3 linked regions of the Oryzias latipes genome follow. The protein of the gene in region 2 purifies or fractionates together with the protein of the main gene of each other region. This does not show direct contact. Links are inferred from orthologs where the notes say so. Each region holds a gene or a part of one and is shown on either strand. Other genes may lie near its edges.

Evidence for each region.
Region 1: the proteins of cebpa (region 2) and cdk4 purify together in Homo sapiens (affinity purification with western blotting; 3 studies listed by BioGRID, with this or other methods). This does not show direct contact. The link is inferred for Oryzias latipes from reciprocal best matches to the Homo sapiens genes CEBPA and CDK4.
Region 3: the proteins of cebpa (region 2) and mrto4 purify together in Homo sapiens (affinity purification with mass spectrometry; 3 studies listed by BioGRID and IntAct, with this or other methods). This does not show direct contact. The link is inferred for Oryzias latipes from reciprocal best matches to the Homo sapiens genes CEBPA and MRTO4.

Annotation. Positions count from the first base shown.
Region 1 is NC_019863.2:27,219,033-27,230,472, reverse strand, and holds the start of cdk4 (cyclin-dependent kinase 4), read right to left. Parts: upstream 7,001-11,440; 5' UTR 6,776-7,000; intron 5,069-6,775; 5' UTR 5,062-5,068; coding exon 4,844-5,061; intron 4,768-4,843; coding exon 4,632-4,767; intron 4,537-4,631; coding exon 4,369-4,536; intron 3,064-4,368; coding exon 2,954-3,063; intron 1,967-2,953; coding exon 1,916-1,966; intron 1,830-1,915; coding exon 1,694-1,829; intron 1-1,693.
Region 2 is NC_019861.2:37,779,430-37,788,258, reverse strand, and holds cebpa (CCAAT/enhancer-binding protein alpha), read right to left. Parts: upstream 8,111-8,829; 5' UTR 7,918-8,110; coding exon 7,048-7,917; 3' UTR 6,496-7,047; downstream 1-6,495. UniProt on the Homo sapiens protein: Transcription factor that coordinates proliferation arrest and the differentiation of myeloid progenitors, adipocytes, hepatocytes, and cells of the lung and the placenta.
Region 3 is NC_019863.2:9,135,564-9,146,913, reverse strand, and holds the start of mrto4 (mRNA turnover protein 4 homolog), read left to right. Parts: upstream 1-4,883; 5' UTR 4,884-4,980; coding exon 4,981-5,008; intron 5,009-8,370; coding exon 8,371-8,429; intron 8,430-8,513; coding exon 8,514-8,617; intron 8,618-9,724; coding exon 9,725-9,806; intron 9,807-9,898; coding exon 9,899-9,966; intron 9,967-10,052; coding exon 10,053-10,204; intron 10,205-11,350. Other genes in the region: iffo2 (intermediate filament family orphan 2), read right to left, coding at 1,332-1,807. UniProt on the Homo sapiens protein: Component of the ribosome assembly machinery. Nuclear paralog of the ribosomal protein P0, it binds pre-60S subunits at an early stage of assembly in the nucleolus, and is replaced by P0 in cytoplasmic pre-60S subunits and mature 80S ribosomes.

The sequences.
Region 1 (11,440 bases), on a different chromosome or scaffold from region 2:
GACTAAACTTTGTTGAACAGGTGAGCTGAATGTTTATTGATAACGTTCCAAATGTCTGGAAGCTCATTTGTTTGATTTACAAGTTATTAAAGTTTATTTTATTGATGTTTGGTTTGCAGGATCTCTGCAGCCCGATAGCCATCGGGTGTCCCTGCAGCTGTTTGCTTGAATCCTTTCTTCCTCCACCAAAGACCAGATCTCTATGTTTGTGTGATGCTTCCGTCTGAGGAGGAGAAGCACTTTTTGCCTTTTTCAACGTTGTAATGCTAATATAACAGACTATTTTCATTCATCTTTGTTTTTTAATGATCAAACGGGTCGCTTCATCTGCAGGAGGGGGCGTATGTTACACTGTTTACTTCCGCATTGGTGATCGGATGACAGGTTCATGACGTAGGTGATAAATGAACTTCAGGTTATGTGAATGAAAAGGAGAATAAAGTCTGCAGCGGTCCTCTACACCCAAACGTGTCTCTGAGCTCCTTATTTTACAAATGAAAGTCCGCTTTACTGACACCGAACCCCGGAAAGACTGCTACACGGAAAATAATCTGATTTTGAGTCGCCAAAAGACTCAGAATCTCTTTGTTTTAAACCTATAATCCGAAAATAAAGCTTCACAAAAGGCTCCACATATTTCATCTTCAAGCTAGGCTCCGATAAACAGACAACTTTGGGGTTTTCTCCTTGTTAATCTATGACTTTTTCCCGTAAATTTACGAGTTTTTATCTCCAAATAAAATTACTTTTTTTTGGTGGCCATAAAACTCTGTCGTAAACTCTTAAATACAAAACCACTAGCTCACTAACATTAGCCATAACACTGAATACTCCTGAAAGACTCAGCTTCACTGCTCTCGCGCAACATTGCGACTTTAATCTCGAAACTTTAATTAGACTTTTATCTCGACACGAAGAGTTTTTTCTCGAAACTTTGTGTCGAGTTTTTTCTCGTCATGATGAGATCAAAGTCTACATGACGACTTTAATCTCATCATGTTGGCCAGAATTTTTTTTCCTCACCGTGGCCCTAAAACTCCGTCGTAGCTTTGAAATGTGTGTCTAACAGTTGTATTTTTCATTTACTACTTAAGTAGCATGGAGGTGGGCTCTGCTGGAAGAGTTTATCTGCAGATCAAAGTTGATCATCAGCAGAAATCTGAGCCGATTTGTTGCTTTCTGGTCCAAGTTTATCAATCTTCAGAGCTGCATATCATTTTTATGACCTTTTGTTGCATCACTCTGTCCTTAAATGATGCACTGGAAATGGAATAAAAATGAAAAGATGTTCTCCAAATTTCACTGGTGCTCCGTTAAAGGGCCTATATCATGCAAAATCATCTTTTTAGCTTTTAAGTGTATTATTATGTTCATTACTCACAAAAAACAACCACAAAGCACTTTTTGCTCTATGGTTGACACCATGAAATGGTAAAAAGTTGGTGCCTCTGAGATCAAGTCGTCTTACTTGCGGGTAGGAAATGAGCTGCGACAATAACTCATTAAAAAAGGTAAATAAATCCTCCTATATTTGGATATAGTTTACTCTGAAAAGCTTACGAAAAGCATGATTTAGGCCCTTTATGTTTACAGACCCATGAATCAACAGTAAAGTGATTCGTTTATCTGCTAATGTCTTAAAGTTCCTGAAAAAAGGGCCGGATGTCTTACTGTTTTAAGGTCAGAACCTTACCAGCAATAGTTGGGCCCCCTCCTCATTTATCTCTGGAACAAAATCTGTTATTGGGCGAGCATGGAGAAGGGGGAAGTTTTTTCTGGACACGGTAACATCAGTGGGCCACTCCTCCTCTGGGGGTAAGCCAAGAACTCTGCAAGGACAAGATGCTTTCAGGCAAACTGGACTTTCACAGATGATCCTCCTGGTAAACCTCGGGTGGAGTTTTCTGCTACTTACTCGAAGATTTTGCCAAGTTGGTCCATCTCTGACTCTCCGCAGAACAAAGGTCTACCAAAGAGAGTTTAGAATGAGGAAGCAGGCTTTATCAAAGTCTGGAGAGGGTTGGGTTTTAGCTTTTTGCCCGTAGATTAATAGCTTTAAAAAGGAATCAACGAAAACTGTCAAATTTAGCACCAACTAATATTTTGCCACAATCCAATTAGAGGCACATTTATTTATTTTACATTTTCGTGAAAGAACAGTTTTATTTGATTGAGAAAAACAGTTTTAACAGTTAAACAAAAATAAAGTGGGATAAAACAAGAAATCCTACAGTAAAAAACAACTAAAAGCATTTCTTCCCTGAAAAAAAAAAGATACAAAAATTGTTTTGAAGGAAAGTTATTCCCTATTTTCTTAAATCAACATTGCAGTTTCGAATTAAAAATTTCCTTTATTTTGAATAATTATTATTTTTTTACCTCCAGCAAGAAACGTTTAAAATGTTTTAGGACATATAATAAAACCATTAGGTGAGAAATTATAAAACAGGCATCTGGATTATCAATGGCGTTACCAACGTCTTTGTATTAAAAGAAGCAAATATTTACAGGAATTCACTTTTCTTTGTCATATTATGTGAATTCGGCACAATCTAATATTTCAAGGTGGATGAGCTGTGCAGCTTTTAAAAACATATTGGTCCTATTGTTAATTGTCTCATTTAAAAGTTCCCACTGCTATAAAGTAACATGAAATATTAGGCAAATAAAGAACTCTTCCATTGATTTTTCAAACTATGATACTCCCCTTCCTACAAATAGACAACTGTTGGTTCCAAAAGATGCCAAATTGGTTCATTAGCAAATAAATAAAATAAAAAAAATCAACATTTTGAAGTGAATCCAGTACTTTCCTAAGGACTGGGGCATGGATATTTCCTTTTAAAGTGACAAACACACTTGGCTGACCTCCATATGATGATGCACGGAGCGGATTTATTTCAGTCTCATCTCATGCGTTTAATCTGCAGTCTCAGTCATTCGTGTCACTCACTTGCGTCTAAACATTTCAGCAAAAATGCAGCCCGTGCTCCAAATGTCCACAGGAGTGGCGTAGCTGGACTGCAGCAGAACTTCGGGGGGTCGATACCACAACGTCACCACCTGCAGCACAAACATATTCCCGTCTCACAGAGATCCATATTCGTTTAGGCCAAACATATGAAGAAAACATTTCTTAAAGATGTTTTTCTGGAGATCTTGGATTAAGTCTACAACCTGTTGTTTAGGGTTTTACTGCAGGTAAAAATAATAACAATAAAAACACAGGCAGGCAGAAAGGGAGCATTGAGAAGCTAAAAAAAAGACCTCGAAGTATGCTTCTCTAAAATCTAACACAGAACTTCCGCTCTTATTCCTTATCAATTTTCAAACTTTTGGCACTTTGGTGAATGAAAAAGGATGCTATCCATATGTCGCTACCAAAGCCGAGTCCCTCACTGGTCAAAGTTCAGCCCAGTATAATGCACGTTTTGTAGAGAGCCCAAAAACGGTCATAGAAACTTGTGTGGCGACGACGCGTGAATGCGAGAGTTTTGAACGCTGAAACCTAATCCACGTACAAAGATTTCTCATAAGAAATGGTCACTTGAACGCGCTTTGCCAAATGCGGTGTAAACGTTAAGAGAACTGGTCAGAGTAAGTGAGACGTCACCTATAGGAAACGGCTTACTTGCAGCTCCAACCAAGTGAGGTCAATTCAGTTCAGTCGCCTTTATTTTATTTTTTTAAATAGGGTTGTCAGTAAGCAGCAATTGGTCGGAGTCTGTCTGAGTCCACATTTCTATAGAAACCACTCTCACCAATCATGAGCGAGCTTGTTGGAAGTCCACACCACTTAAAAGCAAGCTACACAAAATCTGTCAATCAAATGTTTCAAGACACCGCCTACTTTTATTGAGGAACAAGATTGGCCAGTTTATAACTACAGTAAAAAGAAAATCATTAAAAAAAATTGGAGGATTATCAAGAATATGTTCAAAAAGGTACCAGAGCAAGAATGGTCATTTTGACACACAGAACGACTGCTTATTTCTCTATAGACGTCTATGGGATTTTGACTTCTTGGAGCCAGTGGTTACTTCCTGTTTGGAACGCCAGAAGGGGAGGGGTCACTCAGTCCAGCTCTCCTTTACACTCAATGGTAGCAAAGCCGATTGTTTATTGTGTGAGTTATCAAATAGTTATGGTATGTAAAAAACGCAAGTTATTTAGGTGTTGCCAGCGACACCATTCTGGTGTTAAACGGTCAGGGTTGTGTCGTAACTGAAAATGATTTATTCCAAGAAAAGAAGCCAAAACAGACAGCAAAAACAAATGAAATAATCATCTCCAAAGCGATTGTTCAAAAAAACAACATTAACCAAACCGCTGCTGATGATCAAGACGTGAGCACACAGCAGATCTTACCACAGGAGTGAGGGCCATGTGGCAGCTGTATATCCTCGCTAAGCCAAAGTCTGCTAGTTTGACCTGGCCCTGGCTGGTCACCAGAATGTTCTCGGGTTTCAGGTCTCTGTGCATCACGCGGTTTGAGTGGAGGAAGGAGAGGCCAGACAGCAACTGCTTCATCAAGTCCTGAAGACAGAGAAATATTTCACACAAAAAAAGAAAGAGAATCAGTTCCAAACAGTAGCTGCCATCAGTTTTTATTCTTTTCTTCAGGGACTCACTTTCACGCGCTCTGGTGACAACCCTGGAGCTGGAGCTCTCTCTAGATACGTTTTCAGGTCTTGGTCCACATGCTCAAACACCAGAGTGACTTTGGTTTCCTGGTCGGATCTCTTGGTGGCACACACATCCATAAGCCTGGATGAAAGTAGCAAGCACTGATGAGGTGGAGGGGGGGCAACATTTGAGACAAAACCTGTGATAACTCTCCTACCTGACCACATTGGGGTGGTCAAACTGCTCTAGGCGCTTCAACAGCGCCACCTCTCTGACCGTGGACACCGGGAGGCCATTTTGGTCAGTCTGGACGCGCACGTTCTTCAGGGCGACGAACTTGCCACTCTCGATGTCGCGAGCCTTGTAGACGGTCCCGTATGCGCCACCACCGATCTCTGCCACCGGCTCGTACTGCAGACCGGTGCACTGCGCCATGCTCAGACTGGGAGACGAGACTGGGGTCATCTCACATTTATACAGACACCTCAAACTCCAGAGCAGCACTTTTGAGGGATTTACTGAGGGAAAAAGTCTTTAAAAGAACCACTCCAAAAGAAAACAGCGTTTCTGGTTGTTTGACATGTTTTGGTAGCATTTTCTTCTCATGTTGGAGGACATATATTAGGAAAATTGAAATTAAAACTGCTTTACTACTTCTTCTTTTTTCAAATCATAGTGAATCAGGAGCAGACCAAAAACTGCTGTTAGAAAAAGTTTTTACTTGTATACAAAATACAATCGGCGGGCCTCAAGCTCCCTGTTTCTGTCCATGCAGATACATCCACTCGCAGATGACTAGATCCATCTTCGTTTTCCTCGTCTGAGCTAGTATCTGGCTCAAAGCTATATGGCCGGGTAACTCCAATAATGATCACCATTTATTTGTGCTGCTTGCGGTTGTGAGGGACTGTAAGCTAGCAAGACAGAATGCAGACAAAGGGATGATGGGAAGTCAGGGCAGGCTTGCTCAACACAACTCAGAGGAAAAATTTTGATTACCGTAACTCCATCTGCTCTGCAGAAACTATGTCCTAGAAAATTACACAACATTAAAAGATCACTGGGAACGCTTTTAAAATAGATCAAATGATGATTGGAGTGGCTCTTTAGTGTTTTTAAATCAGGAATCTCTCTCTGCACATAAGGAATGGTTTGACAATGATGCCTGGCTGGATTGATCCCTTCCCCAGAGTGACATGTGACATTTGTGTCACTTTGTGTCAAAACTTTCCTGAGCTTCTCCTGTGCGTTTAGTGTTTCGTTTTCCTGCAGCAAGTTTTTCTGCCTCTGCTGTTTGTTTACAGCATAGAAACCAGAGGACAAAAGAGCCGCAAAAAGATCAATTTATACACATTAAAAGCACATTTTTGAGAGACTTTTGCATAAAGCACCAACACAGTGGAGCATTTTTCTTTAACTTGGTTTATCCTAAATGATGGGAAAATGCTTTTTGGTAATTTTTTTGGAAATGAATATATATACTATTCCAGATTAGAGTACATGGAATTATGTAAAAACTTATTTTTATAAATCAAACAACATACAATAAATAGAAAAGAAATAAAATTCACAAATCTATAAATTTTTAACTAAAACAATCATTTCTGTGTTTTGGGAGAGACACAGTGAGTCCAGAGTATAAACTAGGTGAAACTCCCAACAGCCGTTGTTTGAGGGGATCTTCTTGAACCAGTTTGCGCATGACAGCAGCTCGTGATCACAGAAAAATGTATCGATTATCAGATAGGCAAAGCCGGACGTTCGCCCTCCATGTCTCATTCATTCCCCGCCTTATCAAGCGAGAAGCAGGCCGGTGACTCCAAAGCAGTGGGCGGATGTTCATGTGAAATCAGTAGGCCGGGGCAGACACGTGGTGCTCCTCTGTGGCAGTCCTTTGTTAATTTAGAGCAAGAAAATGCAGCAGAAACAGTCCACATGCACTTTTCTAGCTCACACACGCACACACACGTGTCTGATCATTGGTCTGAACGTGGCGGAAGAAAAAGCGGGGGACTATAGTCAGCGGCGGAGGAGACACATCACCGCCTTTTAACTTTTCACATCTGTTCAACATAAAAGCGTAACGCGGCAAAACCATACTCCTCCGCAGGTTTGTGTATTCGACAGGTCACACATAAAAAAAGCTTACCTCGGCCGTTTTTTTTCTTTAAGGGCAAGAGAGCTCACTTTAGTTCGAGCATGCTCGTTGATCTGCCACGTTTATCTGGAGCAGAACGGGTCAGAGGTGGCAGGTCGAGTCCAGGCTGAAGTTTACGGCCGAACAGCGACTTTGATGTGGAAAAGATTTCGGCCTCCGCCGCTTTCCTTCCAGCCTGCGCTCGTTTTCGGTTATCTTCCTGTTGCTTTAGCTTCTCAGGGGGCGGAGCTTAAGTTTTTACCACAAACCATTTGAAGAAAAAAACAAAAAAAGCTTTTTGTTATCAAAAGCCACAAATTCGTGCGACCTATTTTTTGTTAAGCCGTTTTATTTAAAAAAGGGGGGAAAACGACCCCACTTGCTTCACATAAGAGGGAGAAAACAGTGATTTACTGTTTACACTAAATAAAAAAGAAATGGACAAAAATGTTATAAACTTGGAAAGCCTATATCTTATTATAGAGGTTTTTAATACATATATTTCATTTTAAGGCAATGTAATTAGGTAATTCAATAATCAAATCATGGTTGATTGGGTTTTTTATAAGATACCTAACTTTTCTATTCTTCAACCAGAAATTAAGTCAATAAACTAGAGTATCTTCACTGGAAGTGTTTTATTTTTTTTCACTCCATTGACTTACACAACTGCAAACTATCATTGTGGTTGTTTACACCACAGTTAAAACTGTGGTTTTGTTTAGAGAACTGAATAGATCAATGTTAAAAAAGAATTAGAAAATGAATGTAATTAAATATGTTGAAAGAAAATATTTACATTGTTAAAAAAAAACCTTTTATACAAATAGTTGAAATTAAAAATCTCAATCTCTAAAAAATTATTTAATTCAGTGATTTGGATTTTCAAATTAAGTGAATGTCAACATTTTAATGACGTCCACAATGTGGTTTTCTAATTATTTTGATCCTACGGTATGCTGCCTTCTTTTTCATGAATGTATTGTAAAGATTAGTATGTTAACATTAATGATTTATTTGTAAATAACGGGTTAAATAAAAAGCTAAATGTGTTGTAAAAACATGATTTTTAAAAATATATGCACATCAGTTTAAATATTTTCTTGAGAGTTGATACCAGCATAGTTTTTAGTTGTTCATTAATGTTACCATAAAAGCTTACTTTAAATTTATTCATTGCAAAATGAGACAAAATTGGTCAAAATTTTGTCCTATTTTAAAAACAAACAAACAAATAAAATACACCCTCAAGGTATAAAACATTTAACTCTGTTCAAAATAAATTTAATGCAACATTATGTGGTAAATTCAATACTATAAAATGCCAGTTTTGCATGTTTAAAAGATAAGAGATTAGACCTCAAGCCAGAACTTATTAAAAGTTCACTAACTTACATCGTAAAATATTTAAACTCACAAATAAGAGTTTCCTCAATTTTGATTTTTCAAATTAGTAAAAATGTCATTAAAAAAAATAATGTCATAAAAATAAAAATATACAGAAAGGAGTAGTTATTATATTACCCAGTGTTGTCTGTCTTTAAGCCACTTTTGTAAGATCTGGTAAAAGAAGTGCCATCAAGTTTGATCTGTCCCCTGTCTCTGGAGGAATCATAGTGACCCTCAAGGGCATAAATGTCCCATGTGTGTCCATTTACAGTGTGCTACACAGCTGCAGAACCAAAGAGGGGATGCTCTTCACTGGAGGCAGGAAAAATACAACAACTGGGTTTTTTATCTACATTTATGGGACTTTTTCCTCTCAATATTTCAGACACACAGGTCTTTGTCTGCCCCAAGATGATCAAACTCTTCCAGTTCAGGCAATCAGTCTGGATTATTTTAAGAGAAGACTAAAGAAGATGTACGTTTAGATAACTAATGTGAAAAAGGATCACAAGTACACTGTAATCAACCACACATTTAATTACAAAGTTTCGCAATTTAACTTAATCTGAGGAAATGAGTAGCATTTTTTTCAATTTTGTTTTAAAAGATCTTTATTAAGTATAAAAGTAACTACACAATCTTTGTGATTAAACATCAATAGTGGACTTGTGGTCATCTAAAATTGCAGCATTACAGTTTGTGTTCTCTGTTCTGCATAGAAAATCTATGTATAGCCCTTGTTTACTCTTCTTCTTCAGTGTCGTTCTGCTGCATGCTGAAGGGAAAGCTGCATATACTTTTTAGACACGTTAGATTCTCAAGGCTCGAAATGGGTCTTAAACAACAGCTTGTTTTATTTTGAAATGAAAAAGGTGCTAGTATCTAAAGGTGAAAAAGGTGTCCACGTGGAATGGCCTTGAACTCACAGGGTTAGGAAGCTGAAAACCTTTTTATATAAATAACACCTTTCAGAAAAAAATCCCAAAGTGCTTCCTGGTGCAAAATGTAAGTACAAGGCATAAAGTAAAACCTTTAAGTTAAAATAAAACCAGTCAAAAGGCTTTAAGTGTCTTGAGCTGTCAAGGAAACTTTTTGGTTGTGCAAATAAATAGAGGGTGGTAGGGCATGAGGATTGAAGGACACCACCCACAACGACAGCACCCATCTGCAATGTGGTCTGGAACAAGAAGACCTCTAATGGAAACGGATCTGAAACTGACGGACGATCATCTGCTCCCAAAGTAGAACACCCAATCTTCAACAACGCATAAGCCAAAATAAAAAGACAGACTTTCACAAAAGAATTGGATTCAATAACAGCAACCAAAAATAATTTTAAAAAAACACGTTGATTTTTGAATGTATGTCAGAAGTTAAACAAACTGAATACTGAGGAAGATTAATATTTTTCTTTTGACTTTTTATTTTGAGTTTATTGATACTGACGAAACCAAGAATGTAAGACAACACAAAACACATAAACCACATAATAAACAAGTAGATGTTGTACCATCCCATAAACAAACAAACATGTGTTCACCCTTACATACATATAGTAATAGGCAGAAAAACAAGGGAAACGGGAGATGTAAGATTTGCATAATAATCTTTCTTCATGCTTTTTCTGCATTTTAGTTATATTTTTTACAACACATGTGACCTTAGTGTTTAGCGACACTTCTAAGTATTCCTGAACAGAAGTACTTTTAGAAGTGTTTGCACACGCAAAACCTTCGCCACTCCGATTATCTTTTAATCCATTGTAAAAGTGTTCCCAGTGTTTTATTTTATTTATGATTATGCCGTTTTTAACCAAAGTTTTTTTTTTTTAAACTGTTGTTTCTTTTCTGGACATAGTTTCTGCAGAGCGGCAGGAGTTCATTAGAAATTCATCTCTGAGTTGTGGCCAGGACTGTTGGCTTAGAGCAAGCCCGCCCCCTTTTCCAATCGTTCATCCCTTTACACTCTTTTCTCTTCAGCTAGCTTACAGCCCCTCACAACACCAAGCTAACATTACCTTTGTAACAAAAGTGGTTAGCAATATCAGAGCTATCCAGCCGCACAGATGCCAGCTCGGACGAGAAAACGAAGATCTACATGGATCTACTTGTCTGCAAGTTGATGCATCAGAATGGAGCAGAGTAGTAAGCAGGAAGTGTTTACTACGTCACAAATAAGCTCTTTTTCAAAGGCATTTTTCGTCTGCTCCTGATTCACATAGATGTAAATATAGAAATACTCAAAAATGCAATTTGAAGCTTAATTTCTATATGATATGTTCTCCATCGTGAGAAAAATGCCACACGAACATGTCAAAAACACCAAAAAGGCGATTTCCATCGGAGTGGGTCTCTAACGACTGTTTCCTTTCTGGGATAAACATGCATGAGCACGTGGGCTGCACGTCACAGGAATATCAGCACCTTGGACAGCAGCCACAGTCGGCGCAGCGCCTTCTATGGATGGAGCTCTTTCTTTCCCCATCAATCTGCTCGGATCCCAGGAGCATTCACGGGGAAACTGATAATGAAGTTCACATTCCAGGTCGAAGATGCTCCAAACTGTTCTGAAATTCAAAATTGTAGGGAAGGAAAAACATCCGCCTAACCAGGTACCTTTCTGGAGTCAGTCACGTGAAGTGGCACTTCGTTGTCCCACTCGTTGCCGGAGGCCACCGTGTGATTCGGTGAAGAAGCACAGAGGAGGATGAAGGATTTCGTGTGAGGATCCCGTCGGGGGGCAGCAACTCCGCCGGGGGCGCATCCCAGGTTTGCAGGAATCTGCATAGCGACTCTCTTTGTCTTCCTGGTCTGTGTGGCGAAGAGACGGGGTTTTTTTCCCCCCATTAAATTGTTCCTCTTCTTCTGGATGATTAACTTTGTTCTGCTGTACCTGCTTCCGGCAGCGGGAATAAAACCTGCAGGATTTTGATGATCTGTGAATTGATGAATGCCGCTGCGAGACAACAAAGGACGCAGATTTCTGCTCTCGTCTCCAATTACTTCCTTTGACTCAAACAAAAACAGCTTGACAGACAGAATGTCAAGCTTCAGACGGTCTTTGACAAAGAAGAAATATTTTGTTATCAACCTTTAGCAGTTTTATTTCACTATTGACACATAAGAAAACCGTTAATCATTTTTACATCCATAAAAACGATTTGATGAGGAGGAAGACGCTTGACTTTTACGTTAGTGGCTCCATTAAATCCCGACATAATTTCCCCGAAGAATGGTCCCTCCCCATTGGCTGGACTGCAGTGCACATGCTATAACAACAGGATATGCA
Region 2 (8,829 bases):
CGGGTCTGCTTTAGTCCTGAAACTCATCATTGGGCTGTAAATGTTACGGTCAGAACCAGAAATCCTCCCTAAAACCCCAGAAGGTCTGTGTTCTCCAGCAGCAACACAGACCTTCATGACCCAACAGCCTCAGGTTCTCCGTCCATCACCGCTCCATGATCCGGTTCTGAGACGAGGGGAGGAGCTCCGGGTTTTCACCTTCACCTGGATGTTCTCTGCAGTTTCATGAGCCAAGCTGAAAGTTTCCTCACATTTCAGAAACCCTCTGAGATCCAGATGTTCCCCCAACAGCTGACAGATCCAGCTGCTGAGGTCTGACTGGCCCCGCCCCCCTTCATCCTGACCTCCTCAGCAGACTCCTCAGGACGTGGAGCGGCCTTCAGAGGAGGTCAGGTCTTCCTCCTTCCTCCAGGAGAGTCCAGCCAGCGTCCAGAGGTCCTCCTTCTGTCTGGGAACACCTAAACATCTGGGAGGTGTCTCCACTTCTCCTGGTCTCACCGGGTTCCTCCATGAGAAGAACAAACCAGAAACCCTTTTCCGTCTGCCTGAGGGGCTTTGGACATGGTGTCGGGTGTCCAGCACATTCTGAAGGAGGCTTCCGGACTCTGATGTTTTTGTTTCTCCGACCTTTTGAAAAGCAGACTTTTGGCTGCAGCTGCTGTTCATAGAAAGCTGGATCCTGAAAAACGTTAACCACCTTCATCTCATCTCCAGTCTTCCTCTCAGACATCCTTGAAGCTCTGGTTGCTCCTCCAGTCCTGAAGACTCCCGGCGTCTCGAGAAGCCTGAACGGGCCGGAGTCCAGGTTCTGAGAATCCTGGGAACTTCTCAGAACCTCCTGCAGGTTTCTGGCGACGAGTCACTGGATCCCATCTGTTTATTTCTGTGAAAAGCAACATTAATGCTCATAAAGAGAGCAGAAACCTGATTTAGAGTCCAGTTTTTCTGTAACTGCAGGATCAGACGATCCGTCCAAACCTCAACTCAACGTTCTGCAGCCAATTACATCCTAACCGGCAAAATGACAGCGATTTGTCAGCAGTAACCCTGGAAGCGGCTCACCGAGCCGTGTGAGAGGATCCTGAGGTCCGGCCAAGCGGGCCTGAACCGGGCCAGAAGCAACCAGAGAGAAATAAGGCAGAAAGGAGGGAACGGAGGGAGGAGAGGTTCCAGCTGCAAGACTAATGGCTTCCATCCGCAGGAGGACGGCAGCCAACTTCTCACCATGACGGTCCACCAGGGTCCGGCTGTCGTCACGCACGCCGCTCCTGATCCCACGCCGTGGAGATGCAGGAAGGAGGACTTTGCTCTTCAGGTCGGACCTTCGGTCTGCGGTTTCTGCTTCAGCTCCCGACCCGCGTTCTTTACTTTTCCTCGGTTTGATCTTCAGCTTTCAGGTTTTCCTGAGTCAATTCAGGAAAAGAGAGAACATTTCTGCCAAACCAGAACGGCAGACGTGAAGTGAGGACCTGGGGGTGTGAGGGGCTGTAAGCCAGTGGGAGAGGGATGATGGGAAATAAGGGCGGGTTCACTCCACGCCAACAGTCATAACTCAGATGTGAATTTCTACTGAACTCCTGCCGCTCTGCAGAAACTAGGTCCTAGAAAACGACACCGGCTTTTGGATTTCCGCCCATCATTCCGGTCATCATCCCTGAATGACGACTGATCAGAAGAAGATCGGAGTGGAACTTTGAAAGTCTGATCAATAACAACAAAGATTTCAACTTCCTTTAACTGGCTGCTGCTCCCGATGCGACTGACCGTCCTCCGGTTTCCACGGGTCATTTCAGAACCTGGAGGTTCTGGTTCTGTCATTTGTACAAAACCCTACAGTTTGCTTGAAACAAAAGACCCAGAATGACCGAATGCAGTGAAAGGAGGGGGGGATCCGTTTCCAAGGACGACGGGGCCTCTCTTCTGGTTTCACACCCTCAGGAGCACAGAGGCCCCGCCCCCTCAGGGCCCCGCCCCCTCAGGGCTCTGCTTGAACGGCGAGCTGGTGGCGTTTTTCAGGGATGTCTTTCACGTTGAATCAGACTGACTTGGGTTTGCTGGGAACATGTGGAAGTCATCAGACTCGCTGCCAGCTGCTTGTTGCTTCCTAACAACCTGCCTGCTCTCCTCCTTCTTTTTGTCGTTTTCCCACAATCCCCAGCTGATGCTGCATCCACCTCACCTGGTTTTAATACAGCGCCTTTCAGAGATCAGCTGCCATTTATTATCTTTATTCATGCTGTGGTTCTGCTTTGTTTTTTGGTGTTGGCTCCTTTCTCCTCACGTAGAAATACGGAATGGAAAATGCTGAATTTGATTCTAAGGTTTCTGTGAAGCTTTAGTCACATGACCCGTTTGGGGGGGTTAACCCCTACGGGTTCTGCTGGTTTTGGGGTGGTCCGGTCCGTGGAGGGTCATAGAGAGGAGGGGCTGCATCTAAAGGAGAGTGCAGGTGTGTCTTTCATGTCCCTTGAGGCTCGTACGGCCGCCTTAGAGATGTCATGAAAGTGGAGCGTACCATTGTTGTGCACGTGGTAGGTGAGTCGTAAAGTATTTGTAGGGATAATGGAAGACTCTCGCACTTATGACGTACAGGTGATGCTGTCGTATCCACCCGTGAGGACAACTGGGACTAAAGCTTCACCTGACAGGCGCGGACTTACCGTTTGGCAAAGGTAGGCGATCGCCTGGGGCCCCCAACTCTCTGGGGGGGCCCCGAGCTGAACACTTACAGTAGTAAAAATGTCTAAAATAAGTTTTAAATCCATCATTTTATATAAAAAACAGCCAAATGACTGAACTGGCATAATATTGATCATGTAAAAGTGCTTGGTCCCCCCGTCCTTCTGCAGCAATGGTACATTCCAGACAACAGCAAGTCCAGAGACTCGTGAGCTAGCGAGCGGAGGCAGCATCGGTTTCCCGCTCAGTAGGGTGGTTCTTATTCTGACTTTGCGGGTTAAATTGCTTTGGGTGGATGGACGTCATCTGCGCGGGTTTGGATCGGTTCTGAAGTTTGGACTTCCTGGTTGAAACACGTTTCCAGCAGGAAAGTGCGGTCTGGAGAGGCAGGTGACAGGCAGGGCTTCACCTGCTGTCATGACACGTAAAGCCTACTGATACTAAAATAAACGTGTGTCCACTAACCTGTTCTATACACGCAATTTATAAGTTTGGTTCTAATCATTTTTATTCTCAGAATCGCTATTTTGCATATTTGCTGAAGCTGCACTGAAAGACAGAATGAGGCAGAAAGACAACACAACTTTTTGTGATATTAATATTAACAATATTTGTTTCTATGAAGGCATTTTTGAGACGATGTTTACTGTTGGTGTAAAAAAAAAAAAAAGTACTTTTTGGTGTCACTCCAGGTGATATGTACGGTGGCCCAGAAGGGTCACTTCCGGCCTCAATAACTCTTCTGATAAACATTCAAATATGACAAAAGTCTCAATCGTTTTGTATTAACACAGAGGTTGACCTACAAATGATGTTTCTTCTGCTTTTTGCTAAGAAATGATCTCTTCCAGCAGGAAATACAGACAGAGCAGCCAGACGGCTGCCAAGGGACCGTCAACAAAGTGCAAGCTTCTGTAAAAATCCAAAATCTCTCCAAAATAAATAAATGTCTACATTTCTATGAGCTGGTAATGAAGACTTGTCTGCATGGTCATGCTACAATCAACATTTTATTGCATGTATTTGTTCACATTATAATAGATATCAATCATAATAGATGTGCTCAATAGCTCTGAAGATGCTGAAGCTATTGTCACCAAACGTTTTGTTCCGGTGACAGGAGCTTCATGGTCGTCAGAGTTAATGAGCATTTTGGACCAATTATGATCCATATTTATATTCATAAAATTCCAAGTATTTTTCTGACATCATCTTTGTCGTAGTAGAACAATAGCGTCATGATTAGTCAGTACAGAAAGATCTGAGGGGACTTTGAAGTTCACCTCAGTTATTCTGATTGATTTTCGTGGCTTTAGGCTTTTATTCGCTGAATCTTCCGTTTTCCATTTTCTTTCTTTTGCGTTTTAAATGTTTTTTGAAGTTTGTTCCGTCTTCCTGGTCTTTGGACAGTTCAGCTGAAAACAATTTTCCAACATTTTCTACACATGTGACTGAAGTCCCCTCAACGACTTTCAGTCACTAAATCTGTTTTGAAATTTAAAAAAAGGAGTAAAATGTGTTTTAGAGTCAAATACTGAAGGTTTCTGCTGCGTTTTGTGAGTCTCAGCAGGAGCCTTTCAGAATAAAAGCTCTGAAAGTTGCACCCACAACCTTCTTGGCTCCGTTTTCAGTTAAAGCCGCTTCTTGTCGGCCTGCAGAAAGGCAGCAGAGTTTGGATGACGCCGTTCTCATGCTTGCTGACATGTTTATTTCAGCAAAGGCTCATTGTGAACTTTTGAGTTTAAATGAGGGATTTTCAGAGTTCTAGAAACAGTAAAAGTCTTTGGTTTGAGATAAAAGGCTCACAGTCACTATCAGGCGGGAAAAACTTTTATCTGATAGTTTCCTGCATAACTTTGACTGACCCTCTGGTCTCCACGTCGCCCCCTGCAGGCCGTGCACAACGTGCTTTCAGGAATTCTGTGGACTCATTTGTTTAGATCAGAAATCCACCTAAAGGTGAGACGAGGTCCTTTGGCGTTTGACGCCAAGCAGAAACCCACACCAGAGTCCGGAGTGGGAGCGGGGGTCTCACTTCTGCTTCCAGAAAGCAGCTTTTATTCCAAACACATGTTTGCTGTCTGTTGCTCACAAATCAGCCATGACTCTTTTTTTTTTCCTCCTCTGATGGATGCGCTCATTGTTCTGCCTTGTAGGACAGGACTTTCCGGAAACCTGCTGCTTGGAAGCAGCAACGTTTTCGACTCAGTCCACCTCCACCGCCGCCACGCCGTCGATCCGAGCAGTTTTGGTTCTGAGAAACACGAAAATAACCAAAGCCGACTGTCAGGGTGAGGAGCGTTTCAGTGCAAACGCCTCACTTTGTCGATTACTTTGAGTTTGTCACGGCCTCCAATCAACTTTTTCCAACTTTGTCTTTTTAAACTGAAAGAAAAAAGACATCAGGTGAAAACTGTAAATGAAAAAACAGAATTTTAAAGGTGGTCCAGCGATTGAGTTATTTCAGTTTAGCAACATTCATAGAATTCTTCAGGATTAGTTTGTTTATGTTGTTTTTTTACCAAAATAAAGTTTACAGACAAACTTTTAGCTGCTGCATAAATGATTGACGTTCAGCGGCTCTGGATTTCTCCTTCAACCATTTTTTCGGCCACCATTGTGGTTTTTTACCCCGTTAGTATTGTCCCGCATCATCGGGGATTTTCAAATTAAAGTGCTTCCTTTGGAGAACTTTAGGCTTTTATTTTTGTAGCTCACCTTTCGGCATTTCCCGGATCCACACCTTTGGTTTTACGCCGGATGCCCTTCCCGACACGACCCTGCAGCATTTTCTGTCTGATCTGACTTTTCAGCATAAAGTCTCACATCTTTGTTTGTGTCTATTCATGACTCTTTTTACCTTCTTGGATTTTCTTTTCACTTCTTCTCTTTTCTTCTCTGTCTAACTCGGCTTCAGCGTTTTATTCTCTGTAGTTTATTATAAAGATGTTACTTTAGTTTTAAGCCTCTAGTTAAATTCTTTTGCATTTAATAATTGATACTTTATTTATTCCACAACGGGGAAATTCTTCTCCGCATTTTGACCCCTCCCCTGGGGGAGCGGTGAGCTGCTGGGGGGGGGCAGCTGGCTGGGGAGGGCGGGGATCGATCCTCCAACCCTTCGGTTGTTGGACGACCTGCTCTGCCCCCTGAGCTAACCTGCCGCCATTTGTCATCATTTCTGCAATTATTGATCATGAATTCCTCATTTAATCATGTTTATCTCCTTTCATGTCTTCCATCTTTTGGTGTCATTTGGCGTTTCAGCGCGTCAGAATCGACCTCCACTGCATTTCTGCAGAAACGTCTTGATTTTATTTGATCAGGATTCAGCAGACGTGTCTGCAGCTCCTTCAGGGTCTTCATGTCGTTTAGAGCAGATCCATCCAGGACAGAAACCTCTCATCCTTTATGCTTCTCATCTTTTCAAACTCCAGCCTGTGGAACCAGAACATGTTTCACATCCAAACAGTTTGCTTGCTTCTCTGGCTGCTTTCCTGTTTTCTTGTCCATCAGCAGCAAAAGTCTGAAACGTCTCTAAAAGGATCAGAAGTTTATTTTGAAAATGAAATGTCATGACTTTTCTTTGAAGATGCTTCTTGGGAGTCCATTTCTGGATCTTTTATCAGATTATCTTTTTAAAACGAGTTTTAACAAGGTTTGCGCGTTTGTCCGACATGTGAAGTGACAATTGACACAGAAGAAAACAGGAAGTGATTTGTCAGAATCAGCAGCAGACGAGCCACGAAATGACAATTAGTGACAGAAAAGACGAGCAGAAAGTTTAGTTCCAGAGAAAAAACAAGGACAAAAGCCAGAATCTGAACCAGTTTTTTATTACAATATTTCTGAATGTTGGTCATTTTTGTACATATATTCTGTCATACATACATATATATTTATATATAGGCTTATTTTACAACTGAAACAAACAAGTGCTGCCCTGTTCCTCACTGAACAGATCAGGCGAAGGTCAAAGGTCATCAGAGAGGGTCAGAAGGCACCGCTGGTTGTTGCATAAAAACCAGATTCTGTGATCCTGGTTTCTTCGCGAGGACACTCAGTCCGGCTCCGGTTTCCTCGCGGGTTCGATTCCAGTTTTAATCCACTTTTTCGACACTTCGGTTTGAGAAACCGGAGCGTCTGTGCGCAGGAAAACAGTCCAATCTCACTTGTTGCAGAATCAGAGTTCAGTCATGCACGCGCGCTCGAGAGTCCGTGCGCATCTGCAGGCTCAAGGCGCACGCGGACAGCTCCAAAGGCTGCGTGCGCGCTTAGCTGCGTTGGATGAGGCACAAAAACGAGCTTATCTGCCTGTGCGCGCGGAAAAGGCACGAGCTCAGTTCCATCCCAGAGCCCGCGCGCCTCTCAGCTGAGCGGCTTGAAGGATCCGTCCGGCAGCTGCCGGAAGATGCCGCGCAGCGTGTCCAGCTCGCGCGTCAGGTGCTCCACCCGCCGCCGCAGGCGCTCGTTGTCCGCGCTCAGCTCCACCACCTTCTGCTGCGTCTCCATGTTGCGCAGCTTCGCCTTGTCGCGGCTTTTGCGCACAGCCACGTTGTTGCGCTCGCGGCGCAGTCGGTACTCCGGGCTGCTCTTGTCCACGTGCTTCTTGGATTTGCCCCCCCGCTGCTCCAGCAGCTTCATGCTGCCCTGCTGCGCGTGCCCGTGGTGGTGGTGGTGGTGGTGGTGGTGCGGGCTGGGCACCGGGGTCGGCGGGGGGGTCGGGTGGCCCGGCTGGAGGTGCATGGTGGTCTGCGCGCAGTGCGCGATCTGGTACTGGAGGTGCGGCATCTGCGGCTGCTGGGGCTGCGAGGGGTACTGCTGCGGGTGCGGGTAGGTGGGGGGCATGCCCCCGCTCAGCTCGTCGTCGTCGCGCGGCTCCTGCTTGATGGCCACCGGGCGCAGGCGCGGCGGGTTGTGCTCGTAGAGCGGCTCCAGCTTGGACTCCATGTAGTTGGACATGTAGAGCTGCTGCGGGGCCCCCCCGCACTGGTCGTACTCCCCGCTCATGAGCTTCAGCTTGTCCTGCCGGGCGCTGTGGTGGAACAGGTCCGCCAGGAAGTCGTCGTTGAAGGCCGCCGGGTCGATGTAGGCGCTCAGGTCGATGGACGTCTCGGTGTCTCCGATCTCCCCGCCGACCTCCGCCAGGTCTCTGTAGCCGGAGGGGGGCTGCTGGCCGTGGGTCAGGGCGCTCATCAGGGGTCGGGGCGCGGCCTCGTACAGGTTGGAGAGCTCCATGGAGAACCTAAACCCGGGCAGGCATGGCGACGGGCTCCGGGGATCCAGCTTGGAGGGGTCTGCTCAGGTGCGCGCGGCTTGCAGACACTCGCGGGGCTGGGAGCGCGTGACAGCCGTGAGAGCGCGCGGAGGCTGGAGCTGTCGGTCTGATTCCTCCTGCTGAGTAACTTCTGAGCTGTCAAACTGCCGCCTTTTAAGAAGGGAGTGGGCGGCGCTCTCGCGCACACGCGCACGCGGGCCTCAGGTTTCAGCGCGGAGGCTGCGGGGCTGGATAGATGGGAACAGCAGAACCGGAAGCCCGGCTGAGCTCCGGATCAGCGGCGCGGCTGCACCTCCGCCTTAACTCCTTAGAGCTGCAGGTTGGCTCCTGCAGGCTGGCGGCAGGAGGTGGAGGTGCGCGGTTCGAATCCTGCGGTAGAGGGCGCCGCGGACAGCAGCGCCCTCTGTTGGCAGCAGGCAGATCGATGAAAACTTTTTGGAACTTCTTTTTGGAGGGGGGTGTTGCATTAAAACACAAGTTTTTGGTGCTTAAAAAGCCACAGTTTGGTTTGTTTGTTTGTTTGTCAATAATGTGTAGGAAAACACCTCAGACTAACAACAGCAGTTTCTCAGGAACTCATCATTAATAATCTGATATTCATCACAAAAACTCATAACAGTATTGTTAACCCTCCTGTTATGTTACGGGTCAAATTGACCCAGGAACATCATAACAGTATTGTTAACATAAAATCACAGGAATCTCTGAAATCCTTCCTCTGTCTCTCAGAGTGAACCGCCGTGTTCCAGTAAAGAAAGTTGTCCTCATCTCCTCACTTTAGGGCTGTGTCTGAATTCCCGCCATAACCCCTAACTACTAAAAACTATGGAGTGCGGGACGACAGAGCCCTGGATTCTAAAAGCCGTTCAGAC
Region 3 (11,350 bases), on a different chromosome or scaffold from region 2:
CATCGTCTCCTTCTAGCAGTCAGCCAAGTCTGCAGACTTAATGTGACTTGGAAAATAAAACACAGCATGGGTGAGTCGTGCAAAAAGGATTTCCTCAGTGGAGCGACAAAATAAAAGCTTCGACTTCCTTCGAGGGAAGTAGCTGAAGTAACTTTAGCCCCGTGCTATCTGCCATATCCTCGTGATGAGGCCTGGCCTACAACATCCACAGAAGGAGAAGAAATATTAGTATCCAAGAAACCAGAAAGTAAAAAATATATCAATGGCCAAATTTTTAGATTTTAAGTTTTTAAATGAAATGGTGAGAATAAGTATAACTCCACATTTTAGGTGAATCTAGAAAAAATCCTGCCTTTTTAAATGACTTTTTTAAACTTATTATCAGCACTGCCTGGAACATTTAAAACATTGCTCTTGTTTCCTGAAAATTTTGATTTTTTTTTAAGAAAGGAGGTTTTATATTTTGGCTATCAATATGTGTCTCAGTGACAAATATTTGTTATAAATTAAAAAGAGAATAAAAATCAAAAAAGAAGAATGTTTCACATTTTTGTGGCCAGCTAAATCTGCTGTACCAGCTGCTTATTAAAAAAGTAAAGTCTATCTCCAGGTCCAGAGCTATGGGGGAAGCAAGGGAAGCACCTGCCCCATTGGAAAAAGCTTTGTCCTCCCCCAAAGTTTGAGTCAATATTAGTATTATAAAGAAAGATAAAGAAATCATCAATAAGCTGCTTTAATCATGGCAAAAATAAAAAAAGCAATATTTTAATTGCATCTCAGCTAAAAAAATGCTGTTATCAAATTAACAACAAGAACAAAACAGTTTGAAATTTGGATCCTTTCATTTGTAAAGGCCTTCCACTCTGCTGTTCTCATTTGCCACCCTTCTAAAATTGTCTTCCCCCCTCCCGACCCCCCATGTAACATCTTCAAGTTCAAGCTCCACCACTGCCTATCTCTTAAATATATTATGTTTGCTTTATAAACAACAGGCATCGCTACATGGAAAAAACTTTGGACTTAAGTCAGTTGAATGGCTGCAATATAAGTTCAATGACCCACAGGGTTCTATATAAAAAAAACTGAGCCTGATGTCGACTCAAGACAAGTGAGCAAGTCTAACCACTCCTGGCTTCTAAACTCAGGATGCTGGAAAGTGATGTGGGGTCAAAGTGGGGCAGAGGTCAGGAAGGGAGTGGGTCAGGGTGGATGATGTGCTTTTGAGATGTAAGTGGAGAAGTCCATGTGATTCGCACTAAATCCTTCATATTTAGTTATTGTGGCCCCCAAACAAGAATTGAAGTAGATACATTGGTCTGGACTGGACTCACTTTTTCCTGTAGTCGTCCCTCTCCCTCTTGACTTTTGCCAGCACGTTGTACAGCGCCCTCACTTCTGGGGTGATGGTGTCAATTTGAACCCCAACTCCATCTGGGTGCGTCCACGTGACTCCAGGCCCCTGCAGGGTCTCATAGCGCTCTCCTTGCCTCCGGATGTGGGTGAAGCTCCAGATGGTGCCGGGCAGTCTGGATCCGGGACCGTCCGTCTGCACGGCCACCTCGCGGGCGAACGGGTGTCGGTACTGCGGTCGCTGCAGGGCCTGCTGCAGCTGGCTCTCCAGCACTTTGTTCCTCCTCTCCAGCTCGTGGACTTTGGCGAGGAAGCAGCGGAAGCGCAGGTTGAGGGTTTTCAGGACGTGGATGTTGGAGCCCAGGTCGTTACGCAGGGCGCTGGTCACCGCGCCCGAGCCCGCTGGGACGCTGCACACCGGGCCAGGCACGGAGTCGGAGAAAAACAGCGAACTCATGTTGGAATGAAAAGACAATGAAAAACCACAATCCAGCTTTATGCTTTCGTCTGTTTTACAGACAAATAAATGCCATTTTCCTCCGATTTATCCTCGAGCTCCCACTGACAGTGCGCTCCTCCTCACAATGCAGATGCGGGGACGGAGGAATAGTCCATCACTGTCCAGCTGGGTTTTTTTTTTGTTTTTACCCCGCGACGTTACCATGAACCCCTGCAGCCAAAACAACTCCGGGAAGTCCTTTAAGAGCCACAGAGGACAGCATCTCCTGAAGGGACGGGAGTTTGACGCAGGGCGCAATAAGCTCCAGGCGCACTTCCCCTCACGTCTGCCCCTTCCTCAAGAGCCGCCGCCGCCGCTGCTGCTGCTGCTGCGTGGTGGTGATGATGATGACAAGCCGGCTGACTGATGAGGAGGAAGGCCCACCTTCTGTCTCTATCATACCGTCTAGGGTGACTCCATCCGGTCTCCATACAGAGCGGCGAGGCAGGATTTGGCACCGCAGAGCCCTGCCTCCGTGAAGATCAGGTTGCAAAGTGCTAAACTCGGCACTATCACCTACATCGACCCCTCACACGTCCCACCCTCCGCCCTCCTGTGGCAGAAACCGAAAGCAGCGCTCATTTCAAAACCTTAAGCCTTTCCACCAACTGCTGCAGGCTTAATAGATTCATGTCAAACTCTGAAAACAGAGGCAAAACCTCCCTACTGGAGTTTTCATCCGCTCTATCACATTGTGTGTACACAATGTGTCCCATTTTGTCTTCAAGGCTCATCTGTACAGTTAATGTGTGATACATGAAAGGAGATATTGAAGCGTTTAAGGGTTGAAATGGACAAATAAATATTTTTATGGTAAAATGAATGAAAATGGGCTGTTGAAATCCTTTAGAAAAAAAAATAGGTCTCCTCTCCTTTTCTTTTTTGTTTCCCTAAGGACAGGCATGTCCAAAGTCCATCCCGTTCAAATCTCTACTGCCTTGCCTGCTCAAGTTATAAAAGCAACAATATGCAGACCCATAAGCACATTCTCAGAATTACGATTTTTTTTTATTGTGTTCGGCTAAATGTTATTATAAGCTGTTGTAAATTTGTGGCAACAACCTGTCTTCTTTACCTTTAGAGCCTTACAGATACAAACCACAATGGTTTGCAACTCTGAATTACATTATTTGTTTTATTTTCCTGTTCTCATGATTTACATGTAAAAGTTTACAGCGAGCATTTAATGGGGAATAACACTTCAGATTCTGTGTTGACGAAAGTTTTTTTTTCCACCGACAGACTTTTTGGTCTTCAAATTGGAATTTCACTGTAATTTTGAATGCATTTCTCTGAAAGTTGATTTTGGTTTGATTCCTTTCAATGTGAAGAAATGAAAAGTTTCCCATTGGAGAAAAAAAATCAATCAATCGGTTCATTTGCATTTTATGTTATAACGGTACAAATAATGCAAAACAAAGGTTGGCCCTAACACATTTTCACCACACCAAATCTGGCCCTTTTTGCAAAAGTTTGGACACCTCTGCTTTAATAGCATTTTCAGTGGTGTTTTCCTTGTTTTTCCACTTTATACCATAATAGATCTATATGTTCTATTGTTACGTGAAGCCCTAACACTTTTTGTGTTTCTTAAAGTTACATATTGTTCCTGAAGTAGCTGTCCAAACTGGATTTTTGGGTTACAAAAATGATAGATTTGCTCTATTCTATTACAAAGAGGTAAACAGAAACAATTTGTACCTGTACTGCATTGCTTTGACTGTGTGTGCTGCTTCTCTGTGGCTCAGGTGCTGTTTTGTAGGTTAATCTGTTCATAATCCCCACCAGATGGCAGCTATAATGGGCATAAAAGCTTCAGTGTGTACAGGAGTACGGAAAAGAATATGCAATAAATCTTTTCCTGCAATAACATTCAAGAAAGTATATGATTGATAAGGGCATTTGAAGTATTAATAGCTGTTTTGCAAAATCAGTGCCCAGCTGTTTCAAAATGATCTTTATGGTGCATCACACTGAGTAAGTGAAGCAAGTAAGCCAACACATGATCTGCCCTCCAGTTTTCCCTGATTGGCACTGCTAGGTGTTCACATGATGGTATTTGGAGCAGTAACACTACACCGATGTTCAGTTCCTAGTGTGAAGCAGGTGACCCATTTGTGTTATCAGAGCCAAAGGTTTTTTGTGTTAGTTTCCTAAATAGGCGGTGTAGGTACCGGATGTTCTCGGGTTGCCGGATGTTCTCGGGGTCCTTCAGGGTCCTTCCAATGAGTTCTATCACTAGAGGAGACATCACGTGGTTCCTCATGGGAGGAGAGCACCGCCATCTTGGTGAGGTCAAGTTTTGAAGACCAAACCACTTTTATAACATTTAATAAAGAGCTCTGTTTTTGCTTTCAATCACTTCATTATATGAAAAAGAAGAATGGCTTGAAATTGCTTAGTTTTGTTCAGAAATAAAAACTTCACGAGTACCCCTAACTTAACTAGTATTAGACTACTTAGATTTTTTCTATGTTCCTTTATTTTATTTTACTTATGTTTTTATTTATTTGTGTGTTATGTTCATTGTTTCTTTTTTTCCCCTCTATTATGTATTTTCTATGTCAATATGTTATATTTGGCAATGGTGACTGATCTTCGAGGCAATATTGATTACATCGTTATTGTTCGTTGTTAACGTTAATGTCATTGTTAATGTATGATACCGCAATTGTCAATAAAGTTTTTTAAAAAACTTAGCTACGTTAACTCATTGGTCGTGGCAACTTACAGCCAATCAAATAGTGTGACGTCATCATTGGTCGAAGGACCCCGAAGGACCCCGAGAACATCCGGCAACCCGAGAACATCCGGTACCCTATCAAAGTTTGTCCACAACGTTGCAGAGTTTAGAAGTCCACATATTTCTTCAGGCATTAGAACAAAACTAATTACATGTTTGATACATAAATTAATTAATGGATAAAATATGTTAGAATGTGGGGGGAATGCATCACCAATGAGTTTAATGCGTTTAGTTTAGGTAAATCATTGTTTAAAGTAATTTCAATAAAAAAAAAAACCTGATAATTCTTTTTATTTTTAATCAGGCGCTGTGTGGTCATCTTACAGGAAAAGAAACATTTGGGGTCCTTTTGCTTCACGTGCGCTGTCTGCCAACGTGAACAACCATGCCCAAGTCAAAGAGAGACAAGAAAAGTAAGAAATTAAAAGTTTATATTGATGTGTTTGGTATATTTATTCGATTCCAGTTTTTAAAACCTGTTACCGACTTAAAGCACTCGTTTTTCGGTCGTGGACGTTTTATAAGCTAACAAAAATTAGCACAAATGTGTTACGCGATGCGCTGTAAAGCAATCTAGCCACAGGGGTTGCAAGCCAGTTGCCTCTGTGCCGGTCCCAAGCCCGGATAAATAGAGAGGGTTGCGTCAGGAAGGGCATCCGGCGTAAAAATTGCCAAAATAACCATGCGAATCATCCACAACACTTTTGACATACCGGATCGGTCGAGGCCCGGGTTAACAACGACCGCCACCGATGCTGTTAACCTACAGGGTGTCGGTGGAAATTTGACTACTGTTGGTCGAAGAAAGAGGGGAGGCAGAAGGGTCCGTGGCCAGAGAGAGAAGGGAAAAGGCAGGAACATAGGTTTGAGAATAGGGACTCTTAACGTTGGCACAATGACAGGGAAAGGCAGAGAGCTGGCAGACATGATGGAGAGAAGGAAGGTAGATGTACTGTGTGTGCAGGAGACAAGGTGGAAGGGCAGCAAGGCACGTAGTATTGGAGGAGGATACAAACTGTTCTATCATGGTGTTGATAGGAAGAGAAACGGGGTAGGTGTGATTCTGAAGGGGGAGTTTGTAAACAGTGTTCTAGAGGTGAAAAGAGTCTCAGACAGGATGATGAGCCTAAAGTTAGAAATTGAAGGGGTGATGGTGAATGTAGTCAGTGGGTATGCGCCACAGGTTGGCTGTGAGTTAGAAGTGAAGGAGAGATTCTGGAGTGAGTTGGATGAGGTCATAGAGAGTATCCCCAGAGGAGAGAGAGTTGTTATTGGAGCAGACTTTAATGGGCATGTTGGTGAGGGCAACAGAGGTGATGAGGAGGTGATGGGCAGGTTTGGTGTGAATGAAAGGAATCTGGAGGGACAGATGGTGGTGGACTTTGCGAAGAGGATGGAAATGGCTGTAGTCAACACTTACTTCCAGAAGAGAGAGGAACATAGAGTGACATACAGAAGTGGAGGTAGGAGTACTCAGGTGGACTACATCCTATGTAGACGAGGTCATTTGAGAGAGGTTAATGACTGCAAAGTGGTGGTAGGAGAGAGTGTAGCCAAACAGCACCGCATGGTGGTGTGTAAGATGACTCTGGAGGTCAGGAAGAAGAAGAGAGGGAAAACAGAAAAGAAGACCAAGTGGTGGAAGCTACAGAATGAAGAAACTTGTGAGGAATTTAGGCAGAAGTTGAGGCAGGTCCTGGGTGGTCAGGATGAGCTTCCAGATGACTGGGAAACTACAGCAGAGATTATCAGGGAAACAGGTAGGAAGGTGCTAGGTGTGTCATCTGGAAAGAGGAAAGACGGTAAAGAGACTTGGTGGTGGAATGAGGAAGTACAGGAATGCGTCCAGAGGAAGAGGTTGGCTAAAAGGAAGTGGGATGTAGAAAGGACTGAGGAAGGTAGACATGAGTACAAGGAAGCGCAGCGTAGAGTGAAGAGAGAGGTGGCAAAGGCCAAACAGAAAGCTTACGATGAGCTATATGACAGGTTAGACACAAAGGAAGGAGAGAAGGACTTGTACAGGCTAGCCAGACAGAGAGACAGAGATGGGAAGGACGTGCAACAGATAAGGGTGATTAAGGACAGAGACGGAAAGGTGCTAACAACCCAGGAGAGTGTACAGAAAAGATGGAAGGAGTATTTTGAGGAGCTGATGAACGAGGAAAATGACAGGGAAAGAAGGGAGGAAGATGTGGTTGTTGTGGAGCAGGAAGTAGCAGAGATTGGAAAGGATGAGGTTAGGAAGGCTCTGAAAAGGATGAAGAGCGGAAAGGCCGTTGGTCCTGATGACGTACCTGTGGAGGTATGGAAGTGCTTAGGAGAGACAGCAGTGGAATTTCTAACGAGTTTTTTCAATAGGATTCTAGAGAGTGAGAAGATGCCTGAGGAATGGAGGAGAAGCGTTCTGGTTCCGATCTTTAAGAACAAGGGTGACACGCAGAACTGCAGCAACTATAGAGGAATAAAGTTGATGAGCCACACAATGAAGCTGTGGGAAAGAGTAGTGGAAGCCAGGCTTAGGAAGAAGGTGGAGATTTGTGAGCAGCAGTATGGTTTCATGCCCCGTAAGAGCACCACTGATGCCATTTTTGCTTTGAGAATGTTGATGGAAAAGTACAGAGAAGGTCAGAAGGAGCTGCATTGTGTGTTCGTAGATTTAGAGAAGGCGTATGACAGGGTGCCGAGGGAGGAGCTGTGGTACTGTATGAGGTCGTCTGGAGTGGCAGAGAAGTATGTCAGAGTAGTTCAGGACATGTATGAGAGAAGTATGACGGTGGTGAGATGTGCTGTAGGTCAGACAGAGGAGTTCAAGGTGGAGGTGGGACTACACCAAGGATCAGCTTTGAGTCCTTTTTTGTTTGCTATGCTGATGGACAGGCTGACAGACGAGGTAAGACAGGAATCTCCCTGGACAATGATGTTTGCGGATGACATCGTAATTTGCAGTGAGAGTAGAGAGCAGGTGGAGGAACAGCTAGAGAGGTGGAGGTTTGCTCTGGAAAGAAGAGGCATGAAGGTCAGTCGTAGTAAGACAGAATACATGTGTCTGAACGAGAGGGATCAAGGTAGAAGCGTTAGGTTACAGGGGGCTGAGGTGAAGAAGGTGCAGGAGTTTAAGTACTTGGGGTCAACAGTTCAGTGTGATGGGGAGTGTGGAAAAGAGGTGAAGAGGCGAGTGCAGGCAGGTTGGAGCGGGTGGAGGAAAGTGTCAGGAGTGTTGTGTGACAGAAGAGTGCCAGCAAGACTCAAAGGAAAGGTGTACAAGACAGTGGTGAGACCAGCTCTGCTCTATGGGTTAGAGACGGTAGCAGTGAGACAGAGACAAGAGGCTGAGATGGAGGTAGCGGAGATGAAGATGTTGAGGTTCTCCTTAGGAGTGACCAGGTTAGACAGGATAAGGAACGAGTACATCAGAGGGACGGCTCATGTTGCCTGTGTTAGCGACAAAGTCAGAGAAGCCAGACTGAGATGGTTTGGACATGTTCAGAGGAGGGATAGTGGATATATTGGTAGAAGGATGTTGGAGATGGAGCTGCCTGGCAGGAGGGCAAGAGGACGGCCAAAGAGGAGATACATGGATGTCTTGACAGAGGACATGAAGTTGGCTAATGTTAGGGTAGAAGATGTTCATGATAGAGTGAGGTGGAAAAGGATGATTCGCTGTGGCGACCCCTGATGGGAAAAGCCGAAAGAGAAAGAAGATGCGCTGTAAAGCAACTGCATCGTTTCAGTCTAACTTAGAGAATGTATTCTTATTTGTTTTTTATTTTCTCAGTTTCGTTAACGAAAACCACGAAGAAAGGATTGGAGTCGAAGCAGAAATTAATTGAGGAGGTAAGTGTTAGTCACCACACAACAATGATAGAATCAAGCAAAAAACAATGAACTAAAACCTCCTCGTTTGTTTTTATTTTGTAGTTAAGAAAATGCGTGGACACATACAGGAACCTGTTCATATTTTCTGTTGAAAATATGAGGAATAACAAGTTAAAAGATATCCGGACAGCATGGAAGCACAGCAGGTAATGGTGCTCTGTTGTGTTCCAAGTTCCTGCTTGTGTTTTGGTTTTGTGTAGTTTTCAGTTTGCTGTCCTGGCTGAAGTCCACCAAGCTAAACTGGGACAGATTTAGCTCATTCCATCATCTGGGTGAACTGAGATCACATGTTTTATTGTAGCTGATAAAATCGTACACTGAAGAATTGGATCTAAGAAGATTTGTTGAATCTTTGGCCATAACATGGCCTGGAATAAGGATTTTCTAATTAATGATATGGAGGTAAAATGGTCTTAAATGGATTTCAGTGTATAATACGTATATTTTGTGTGTCACTGTGTGTACTAAGTGTGTATTCACGTGTACACTTTAATATCACAAACTTACTAATACACTTTACGCCCAACTCAACAGTTTTAGTCACAGACTTTTTTGCAAAATGCCATGCACTTCAAATTCATGCCAACTTCTTTTTTGAGTCCAGTACAAGTCATACTAGAATCACTATACTTGAGTGAGTCAATCGGACAAAAGGCTTCAATGCTTCATCTGCCCATCATTAACGATCGCCACAATAATTTTATTATCATTTTATTTGATCACTTCTCTGCTCACGGTGCACAATCCCCGTTCTAGAGGGCTGCTGTCTTGCTGGTTTTCCATCTATCCCTCCCCTTGCAGCTTCTTAGTGATGGGACACACCTGATCCAGGTAATCTGCTGTAAGTGGGGCAGATATCTTATTGACAAGCTGAACGCTGGTCCCCTGAAGTTGTGGATTTAATAAGTTTGATCTTAAATTGGTTGGAACTGGAATCAAGGCATTGACTATGGTGACGGCACACGCGATCCGTCCAGTTATTTATTATCCAGTCAATGCGTACAGGTGATACTGGTGTACGGTGTCCCTACGCCACACTTCAGCCACTAGTGATGTGCATACCTAAGTGTCCATGAGATAGGTAGGACGTCCACGTAATCTTTGATTATCTAGTTTTCTCAACAGGATCGAGCCTGGTTGCATGCAACAGGAGTCCAAAGAGCAACCACTTTTCCCGTTAACAGCATTAACAAGCTTCCTGTGGAATGCAGAGGATTGGGGGATTGATTCTGATGTTTGTGTCTAATCTACAGATTCTTCTTTGGCAAAAATAAAGTCATGATTGTAGCTTTGGGGAAAGGAAGTCCAGATGAATACAAAGACAATTTGCACAAGGTAAGCAGATATTGACTGTTTTTGAAATGTATAAATGCAATCCGATCCTCCATACTGAAGAGGTTGTAAGTTTTTACGCTTTTGGTGTGCAGGTCAGCAAGTTTCTGCGAGGGGAAGTTGGGGTTCTCTTCACAAACAAAACAAAGGATGAAGTATATGAGTAAGTGATGGTTTCAGTAAAGCTTCTGTTGTTTTATTGGTGCTTTATGTGTTGATCAGCTAAAGAGTGCTGGCCTTCACCTGCAGATACTTCAGTCATTTCAAAGAGATGGATTTTGCCCGCGCTGGAAACCAAGCTCAGATGGACGTAACGCTGGACGAGGGACCTCTTGAGCAGTTCCCACACTCAATGGAGCCTCAGCTAAGACAGCTGGGGCTTCCCACTGCCCTCAAGAAGGGTAAAAAACACTTCAACACTTGTTTTCTGATGACCTTTGAAAGGAAAATTACAAGTAACCCCTGTTAACCTGAAAAGCTCTTAAAAACAGGAATGGTAGTAAAAAAAAAAAAAAAAACACAAATCTCTTTTAATAAGCAGGAAAGTTTAGTGTTACATGAAGAACAGCCGCCTCAAAAGCCCCCTCAGTGACTATTGGAAACCTTGTCCTGCCAGCACAGCAGGGTTTTATGGAGATACATGGAGGGATAAGAAAGGCAGATAGTGGTCAGTGTATTGAAGTTTGCGATCAATAGAAAAACATCGGGGCCAATTACATGTGCTAAGGTAGAGAGTGAGCCGGTCACACGGTAGAACTCTGGCTTTTGTTATGGTCAAAGAATGACGAGAAACATCTGGTCTGGATGTAGCTGTCCCTCTGTTACAGGCAGCTCTTATATGAAGAGGGATCCGAATCAAATGTGGTTAAGAACTTTGTTCTAAATCCTTGGAACAGAACGAGATGCTGGAGATGGATCCATAACTCGACTAGTCTTCTAGACCCGCTCTGATGAAAATAAGGATTTGGGTGTTTTGAACTTTTTTTCTTCTTATGATTATGAAGGAGATATAAAGAAAATTAAACTTAAAATTACATTTCTGCGAATTTCTTTGTTCAAATAGCTGTGAATCAGGAGCAAAAAAGCAATCCACCAAACCGCTTTTTCTTTTTAATTTTGAGTCAACAATTGCAGCTTCATTTTGAAAATGAAAAAAGCATTTCTGGTATTGACTTTTATTCTTAATTATGCTACAGAAAAACTTCCATAACAGGCTCCCTGCTCTTCTCCATGCTGATGCATCCACTCGCAGACAGATCTGTGTACGTCCCGCCTTAATGAACTCCTGCTGCTCTGCAGAAACTGTCCTTGAAAACGGGAGATATTTGGCAGGGTTTTGACTAGAAAACGCATAATTATAATTCAAAGACCACTGGGAACACTTTTAGAATTGATCAAAGGATGATCAGAGTGGACTTCATCAACAAGGAAGAACATTACTTTTAGATGAAATGCTGTTTGAATTGGACAGCAGTCCTGAAACGCTGCAGTTTTGTGTTGAAAAAGGTTCCCTTCAGTGTCGGTTTACTTTTAGATTTAGGATGGAT